2 linked regions of the Neurospora crassa OR74A genome follow. The protein of the gene in region 1 interacts with the protein of each later gene in a biochemical or structural test. Links are inferred from orthologs where the notes say so. Each region holds a gene or a part of one and is shown on either strand. Other genes may lie near its edges.

Region 1 (4,369 bases):
TGATTTGCTGGATCCAAAAATCGTGCATGCAAAAATCTTTGCAGCTTTCTGTGTCAAAAAGCATAGAAAGGAACGAGAAGTCGAACGAAAGATCGGAACCTACCGGTAGAGGCACTTCTATGCACTAACAATTTACGAGTTTTGACCAGGTTTTTTTGGGTCTATTTCTGCCCAAATGGGAAAAAAAGTGCCAAAAATGTAACAGAATATTTACCACCTAGTTGAGAGCCCTCGGCCGACATCTCTTGCGGCTTTTCTTATGATCAATGCCTGTGGTGGAACTCAAAGATGTAAAGAAAGATGCAGCGTAAACAAAGTATGAAACAGTTTCCAACAATTTGGGAAAGACAGGTCGGGCAATTGGCAAAATAACGACACGCCTGCCATGGCAGACATGCCGCAATTGTGTGCCCTGGCTGGCTTCCAAGGCATATCCCTGTTCACCCACGACTTAAGAGACATTTTGCCCACCTCAACGGTTTATGACATGGAACGCAAATGTCTCAATCAATATGCGCTGCCGGTTTGCGATTGCAGATGTACATACCAGCATCCTCTTGTTGTCGCAAAAAACGAAGAACCAAACTCGACTGCTCTCGGGTTTTGTGAGGACTCACCACAAGAGCCATGCTCTTGGGACTTCCTGGAAGCCTTCCATCATATACTCGTCAGACATCAATCCTCGACTGTGTGCGCAGAGGTATGCTGACCCAAGCAGTCTTCAGGCAGGCTGAATCCATTCCAAAGTCGACAAGTTACTCCATTCATGCACTACCGTACACGTTCTAGAGCCGACAACACATGGCTAGCTTCGAGCCGAGACGACACTTCAAGAATACATCCAAATGAAAAGGGAAGGGACAAGATCAGGTACCTATGGAATTACCCAGTTTATCCAGCCTGTTAGGTGAGTTAATCCCGTTTGTCGAGATGGAAGAATCAATGTATGGGAAATAACACCGAAGTCAATACATACTTCGAGGTACAGTTCAGACTTTCAGCTTGAGACTGTGCTTGCTGGTACTGCCGTGGAGTGTGTCCCACTCAGATCCCGGTCGGTGGTTGTTTCTTGGAGCCTCCTGTTTGGCTGTCTCGATACAAGAACCATTTTCTAAGTCTGCAGCCTCCACGGGGTTGACAGTGCGCAAAATGCCGGCCCATTTCACACCTTTCTGACGGGTATCCATCCCATCCATCATCCACTTTTCCCTCCCACCAACCGAGTTTTGTGCGGTTTCTTTCCTAGCCCCAAAGATAGCGTTCCGAGCTGCCAAAACTGAAGCCCCTTCGATTCTCGCCTTGTCGGAATTCTTTTTGGGACTCTCTTGCGGTCCCGTCAAGTTCTCTTTTCCTTGTCGCGCGCTTACTTTCACCCCCCCAAACCGAGAAGGAAAGGGAAAAAAAAAACAGACCCCTTGGCCTTTGTTTAGTAATACCTCTAACCGGCGAACAGGGGGTCGGGTATCTTCAACCCGGCGCTCAGTCCTCGGTCGTGGCCCTCTTCTGGCTGCCCTGATTGGCACCTGGCAACTAGCCACTCAGTGCTTACTCACTGGGCCTTGGACGGGGAGCGGGCCCCATCATTTTTATTTCCCTTGCGCCATCTCTTTTCCCACGTCATACCTGACGTCTGTCCCAAGTCCTGACCTTCGACTTTTCTCCTTCCACACACACACACATACGAAACACCTTGTTGCGAGGAACTACGTAAGGTATTTACGATCCCCGATACTAGCAACGCAGCCGCGAGGCGGACAGGACGCTGCATTACGAACATAGCGTGCAGCCCTCTACCTACACTTTCTCTCTTGCGCCTTTGTGACCTCATAGTCGTCCGCAACTTTCCCTTCCCACCCCGTCGTGTCCCTCTGGCCTCTGGTCGCTCGCATCCGCACCCGCACCCGTTGCAGCACGAAGGCGCCGCAAGTTTTGGATTGACATCATGGGGTCGTCTACTGGAGCCGCTGGCCGAGGTGAGTCCAAATCACCCAAGCAATCCAACAAGACATCCCCACCGCGACAAGGTGAGTAGAGTCGCTTCTTCCCTGTCACGACCGTCATCATCTATTCCCGTCGTCGAGCACCCTGTCGTCCCGTCTGCTATCGCGTTACGTCCCTGCAGAGGGAGGATAGAGAGATAGAGAAAGAGTCAACGGCTCGTACCGTATATCAAGAGAGACATCGTTGCCAACTCAATTTTTGCACATCTAGATGGCCACCCCGAATCGAAGCATGAACCTCCCCTGAAGCCATCCGAGTCGACGACCAATGCCGAACCAGCCAAACCACTCGCGCCTCCGCCCCGTCCCGCTGCGCAACAACAGTCCACGAACAGCCCTTCCGACTACTTCTCGCAGAACCCCATCAGCGGCTCCCTGAGCCTGGAGCCGAACCCATTTGAGCAATCCTTCGGTGGTGCCCCCGAAACGCCCGGCGGTACTAAACTCCCGCCCGTCGCCGCCCTAGCGTCCCCATCATCCATCTTGCCTCCTGGCTCAACACCTTTCCCCTGGGGCGGTAGCAACTCGTTGCGATCCGGCCCATTGAGTCCGGCAATGCTGTCGGGCCCAACGACCTCTGATTATTTTGGCGACCACATTCGCGGAGGTTTCCCAACGCCAAACGAATCGTCGCTCAGAACAGGATTGACGCCTGGTGGTAGCGGGTCTATGTTCCCTGCCCCGAGTCCTAACTCGACTCTCTTTGCACAACTTGCCGGCCCTGCTGCCACGCCTGGAACCATCGACTTTCACCGAACCGCCATCAGTGCCGCTGCCGCCAAGGCCCAAGCTCAGGCCCAGGCCCAACAACAAGCAGCACATCAGCATCAACAACAATCGCAACCGCCATCGATTACGTCACAACCCGCCTCCGATCTCCCCAATGGCATTCCGCCTCTGAAGCCTGAGACGAAGCCACCGACTGGACCCTTTGACCCGCATGATAACGACGCGGCAAATGGTCTTTTCATGTTAGCACAGGGACGAAACGCATCTCAGCCACCAAGCCAATCATTTAACGTGGTGTCGGCACCTCCGCCACCTCCATCAAGTCACCCGCACACTGTGCCGGCTCCTCCTGTGCAACCAGTTAACACGTCACCACAAATGAATGGGAACGTATCCATTGCAGGAAGCTCAGCACGTGGTGTCAGTGAAGTTAGCATCGGGTCAGACGACAGTGAACTTGCCAGGCCTAATACCCGTGGCAAAGGGAAGCGTAACTCCACAAGCGCAGCGACGACGGGTTCCCGTCGCAAGGCTGAAGAAACTCCGGCCAAGACTCCAGCCAATAAAAAGACCAAGACAAACGGATCTGTTTCTTCACTCAACGGTATGGACTACTCAGGCTCGGAAGACGAGTCGAAGCCAGGCAAGGATGACGGAACGGGCTCAAAGTCCAAGATGACGGAAGAAGAAAAGCGCAAGAACTTCCTGGAGCGGAACAGGTATGTGAAACTCGTTATGTTAGCCATTGGAAAACACTTGATACTAACAGTTTGCAGGGTTGCCGCTCTGAAATGTCGGCAGCGTAAGAAACAGTGGCTCGCTAACCTCCAGCAAAAGGTGGAGATGTTCAGTTCAGAGAATGACGCCCTTACTGCAACAATAACACAGCTTCGGGAAGAAGTGGTCAATCTCAAGACACTTTTACTCGCACACAAGGACTGTCCAGTGACGCAACAGCAAGGTCTCCATGGTGCGTTCATGCAGCAAGCCATCGAGCCATTTAGTCACCAGATGAACCCCTACGGTATGGGAGCTGGCATACCTAATCAGCCCGTCGGCATGCCGCCGAATGTTGCTCCTCGCCGATTCTCATAGCGATGGGGTGCGGAGGTTGAGACAATATTGGATGATGAAACAGGCAACGATTCCCGACAAGGAGGGTCGTCTTCTTAACCTACTTGACCTTTCGGATGTCACCCACGTTGACGATAATTACCATCCAACCTCAACTGGGTCCGACCATTCGCGGGCTGTCCTTTCTGTTAATAACATTGGGCGGCGTGCAAAACGGGGGGCGCGACATTCTTACGACGTTCGGATTCTAGAGACTGCACCATAAACAACAAAGGACAGTCATTTCCATTCTCTGCATTGTATGAGTTCTAGCCAGTAGGCATCTTGCTAGTCAAGTTCATGGAAACCCAGGGGTGGCTAAGGGTCTCCTGAATCGGTGCAGCACCATTACCTCTGGCCATTAGTCTGTGTATCTATGTGGTGTCTTGAGGGCATACAAAAACCGGCGTCACTGGTGTTTCGGGCTGCTTTTTTGTTAGCTTTTATTTTTAACCTTTCTTTTTATCTTGTCTCTTTTTGGTGTGGCAGGAGAGGAGGAACCTGGACACGGCTGGACAGGAAGGAGG
Region 2 (4,462 bases), on another chromosome or scaffold:
AATCGGAGAACCCCTTCAAAGTTAACCGAAAAAAAAAGTGGATTATGACGGTAAGAAATCATGTGGCATGATGTCGTGGTATCATGAAGCCAGGGGACTTCTACTCCACCCCTGTGTTGAAGATTCGGCGCCATGTCTCGGACCCTGCCGTTGCCGTGTTTTATTGCGGCGGAACATCTTCCTGGAACATCATTTGCCCCGAGGCTTCGACGTTGTGATAGTCCAGGATCTCGGAGTACCTGTGATTCAGTTAGTGGTGTGTGGTTCTCAACTCATCATATTGATGCGGTGAAACTCACATCATGATCTTCCATGTGTCGACCGGGAGATCAGCATCATTGAAACTCCAATCGAACTTCTCCTCGGCAACCGGCTCGTCGGTGGGGTCGTGGTAAGGAGCAAGGTACTCGTGTGAAAGGGCCTCGGTGGCAGTTATCCGCTTCTTAGGGTCAAAGACAAGCATGCGCTCGAGCAGATCGACGGCTAAGACAGGTCAGCATCTTGTGTATCCGGCGATGGCCAGCGGCTGAGACGTACCTGATGAATCGGCGTTCTTGAACTTATTCTTCAGGGGCTGACGCTCGCGCTTGGGAAGGGACTTGACGAATCTCAGGGTCTGACGGAGAGTTAGTGACGGTGTCGCAGAGCCTTCAGCAGAGTGGGGGTACACACGTTCTCGCTAGCAATCGTGTTGATGACATCGTCTGGGGGAGTGCCGAGAAGCTCGGTGATGATGGAGAACTGGTTGACATGGTCCTTGCCAGGGAAGAGGGGCTTGCCCTCCAGCATCTCGGCGAAAATGCAGCCGGCACTCCAGATATCGACCTCGACGTCGTACTTTTGCCAAGTGAGCATGATCTCGGGGGCGCGGTAGTAACGAGTAGAAACGTAGCCCGTCATCTGAGGATCCTGGATACGCGCAAGGCCGAAATCGCAAATCTTCAAGTCGCAATTCTCGTTGACCAGGATGTTACTTGGCTTCAGGTCACGGTGGACAACACCGGCGGAGTGAACGTATTTGAGACCGCGCTAATCCTGGAGTTAGTGGCTACCGTCGTTTTCATGCGACATTGACAGGGGATGACTTACCATAATCTGGTACAGGAAGTACTGGATAAACTGCTTCTCAAGAGGCCTGGACGTAAGAAGTCTGTGAAGATCGGTTCCGAGAAGCTCGGTAACAAAGTAGATATCCTCGAGAGGAGAGATGAAGATATCGCTCAGAGAGATGACCTGTTGCGCAAGCATGTTAGTCGCGTGGTTCCCAATTGCTTGTGCAATGGAATCTGGTAGACCAACGTTTTCGTGCCTCAAGTGCTTGAGAAGCTTCAGCTCACGGTACGTGCGTTTGGCAAGGACCGGTGTGCTGAAGGGCTTCATAATCTTCTTGATGGCGACATTCTGGTTGGTGAGCTGGTCTTTCGCGGAGCTGCGCAGCGGTCATCATTATTAGCTGGGTGCGTCTGGCGGATGTGACCAGATAGCGAAGCGGAAAACATACCAGACAAGACCAAAGGCTCCCATGCCAACAGGCTGGAGATCGGAATACCTATCGCGGGATCAGACTAGAGCGCATAATGACAGAAGGGTTCGTCGCGGGGAGGCCAACCTCGAGGTGATCTCAAAGGTAGTTCCGAAGATCTGGGCGCGGATAAATTCGGCCATTGTGATGTGTGGTGTTGATGTTACAGAACAAAGGACGGAGTGAGGATTGCTGGAAGACGAAGTAGCCCTGTCTCTGGTGGGAGCGCGGGGCAAGCTGAATGGGCCGAGTGTCACAAACACAGGTCAAACGCGAGGTTTGATTCAGTGGCGGCAGTGAGGCGATCCGGTGATCGGGCGCTTTGTGTTTTTTGTGTAAGGGAGACTGAGGAGACGGACGACGTCGGCTGGGGTCGGATGTTGCCTGCGTAGTGCGCACAATAAGGGGATCGGGCAAAGGCTGAGAACGAAGTCCTGAAGGCGAACCGAAAACTTTTGTTTGTCTTGGGAAGAAAATATCAGCTTGGGCACCGAGAGCAAAAGTGCCTGGAACGAAAAAGCGAAAGGGAGAGAGAGCGGGTGGGAGCCGAATGCAAGTGGACGCAATGGACAGAAAAAGGAATCCATCCCACTTCCAATCCCTCTCCAGCGCAACCTCCAGCTGGGCAGCTCAATGGCTCGCAGTGGACAATACAGTGTGCGCCAGGCAGTCGCCAGGGCGGGGAAGTGCGGAGGAGGGAATTGGCCTTTAGTAGCGGTGGACCTTTTTTTGGTGGGTATCCGCTCGCTTACCTGCAGTAGTTCACTAACAGAACTGGGGCTTTTACCCAAATTGACGGGAATTCGGATACCTCTCGGAGGGGCAGCGACACGACAAGGGAAGTGGTGGTTGGCAGGCCGAGGTGCGCGAGGGGATCGATGATTGGGAATGCTGGTGTCCGTCGCAACTCTGTGTCGTACTCGATCCGGAATGATTTTCCTCGTGTCGTGTATATTTTGCTTTTTCGTCGGGCGGTTGGTAGGAAATGTTTTGTGTTGTTGTGTTGTTGTTGTTGTTGTTGTTGTTGTTGTTGTTAAATCTCTCTTGCGATCCAAAGGGCGATTTAAACTAAGAAACTGAAGGCCCCGCACTTTCCGACGATGGACTGTTTCTTCACACTTGGCGAGTTTAGTCGAGCTGAGGTCAAAGTCGAATCCTATCAACCGAGCAATATCGCGATGGGTGGTGGCTGAGGCGTGTATAGGTCCGAGACTGAGAAAAGACCAACGCGCAGAACACGACAGGTTTGAAGAGGAGAGAAAGCAGAGAAGGGACGTATGAGGAAGATGAGGAGCGAAAGCGCAGATGATAAAAGAAGGGAAAAAAGAAAAGCGAAGGGGCTACGAGCAGTAAATAGTGTACACGGTCAAGTCTGTTGGCACTTGGACCTGAACCTGAATCTGAACACACGCACACCCGATGAGCCAGGCAAGGGTGCATGAAGACGCAGCGAGGATGGAACGGGAGGCCGGGCTCACGGGCAAGGAAGTAGGAGGAACAGCTCGAAACGGTTAATGCGCTACCAGGAGAGGGCCGGCAACTTCCAATAGGGAAGAGGCCAGAGCATGGAGGACCGACCAGCATGGAGAGCTGGCACCACCCTAGGTACCCTGGCGGTACATCGGCGACCGTCCTCGAGACCAGGAACACGACGCCGGGACTGGAGAACAGGATAGGTATGCTGAATTTCCGTCTTGTTCAAATTCCATGCTCTGGTTCATCCATTTTCCGCTTTCTCTTTTCTGTCGTTGGTTGGGTACCTGTACCTGTCCCCTCCCTCCCCTTTGAGTCCTCCCCTCCTTGGTGTGTCTCGCGCGTTCTGCATACATACATATATACCACCATCCACCACTAACTGGTGCTAATTTCCAAATGGATGTTCCTGTTGTGTCTGATCTGCCGTTAACTGTCTCTGTTAATGCAGGGACATTTGAAAAGGTGAAGATAGCCTCAATGGATGCCATGGATGTCAGGTTGATGTCTTTTTAGGTGCAGCTTATATGCGCAAGTCAAGCAATCATCCCTTCCAACTGCTTGCAGGTGTCTTCCCTTAACCCCGCAACTTGGCCCGCGGTGGTTTCCCATAACGCTGGGTCCTTGAGGTTGTCGTGTTACTCTAAACCCTTCGTTCAGTCAAATGCTCATCACAACCATTTCACAAACTACCTACGTTCGCCAGTCATCTGATAGTGCATAGTAGTCAAGTAGAGTAAGGTAGGTAGGTAGACATGGTGCCAAGACTAGGTGCCAGACGGGCCAGACGGGCCAGACGAGGGGAGCGAGGGGGACAACGAGGGAGATGCCCGCTCTTACAACCTCCAGAAGGCTATGACGTAGTTGAGGGGTGGGGCTCATGAGCGTTAACCAGCGCTAACCACGACCCCTTGTCGCCGACACATGCCAAAAGACCCACTCCCGCTCGGCCTGGCAGGCATTCGCAAGCCATCGCAAGCCATCGGCCGTTTTGCTGAGCCCCTCCATTTCCCATGGTCCTCTCCAAATCGCGAATTTGGGTGCAATCGGACTTTGATCGAGTAATTCAGCCAATAGTCCATTTGGCGGTGACTAGTCCTAGCGCAGAGTCGACCATTGATGTTGACACCCTTTCTTTCCCTTGCTAGAAAATTGGGATTAAAAAAATAGAAAAATGAAATAGGTAGAAATCGAATCGGCCGTCCCTCCGACCGCTGTCGACGAACCAAGCATAAAGCCGCAGTCACGCGCGGCTTCCTGGTCCCGAAGCACACTACCATTTGAACTTGAGTGCTATGATTTCAAGAAAAGCAGTCACTGTCAGATCGACAAGAAGGGCGATAAACAGGTTGTCAGTGAACGTGTCTGGAGGAAAAGGTCCGGGTTGTGGAACACGAAGGGATTCACAATGCATACACTACACACTTGCCTCGCCGTTTGGGAGATTTTCATATCAACGGAGTCATA

Evidence for each region.
Region 2: of the proteins of asl-1 (region 1) and os-2, one has a biochemical effect on the other in vitro, tested with the Schizosaccharomyces pombe proteins (5 studies listed by BioGRID). The link is inferred for Neurospora crassa OR74A from reciprocal best matches to the Schizosaccharomyces pombe genes atf1 and sty1.

What each region holds. Positions count from the first base shown.
Region 1 is NC_026505.1:3,718,819-3,723,187, reverse strand, and holds the start of asl-1 (ascospore lethal-1), read left to right. Parts: upstream 1-1,266; 5' UTR 1,267-1,549; coding exon of another isoform or gene 1,550-1,584; 5' UTR 1,585-1,942; coding exon 1,943-2,024; intron 2,025-2,211; coding exon 2,212-3,448; intron 3,449-3,505; coding exon 3,506-3,824; 3' UTR 3,825-4,369. Other genes in the region: NCU01346 (hypothetical protein), read right to left, coding at 990-1,242, 1,550-1,584.
Region 2 is NC_026504.1:4,949,204-4,953,665, forward strand, and holds the start of os-2 (mitogen-activated protein kinase), read right to left. Parts: upstream 2,977-4,462; 5' UTR 2,275-2,976; intron 1,986-2,274; 5' UTR 1,666-1,985; coding exon 1,610-1,665; intron 1,550-1,609; coding exon 1,502-1,549; intron 1,430-1,501; coding exon 1,300-1,429; intron 1,234-1,299; coding exon 1,090-1,233; intron 1,030-1,089; coding exon 673-1,029; intron 617-672; coding exon 538-616; intron 484-537; coding exon 300-483; intron 240-299; coding exon 161-239; 3' UTR 1-160. UniProt on the Schizosaccharomyces pombe protein: Proline-directed serine/threonine-protein kinase involved in a signal transduction pathway that is activated by changes in the osmolarity of the extracellular environment. Controls osmotic regulation of transcription of target genes.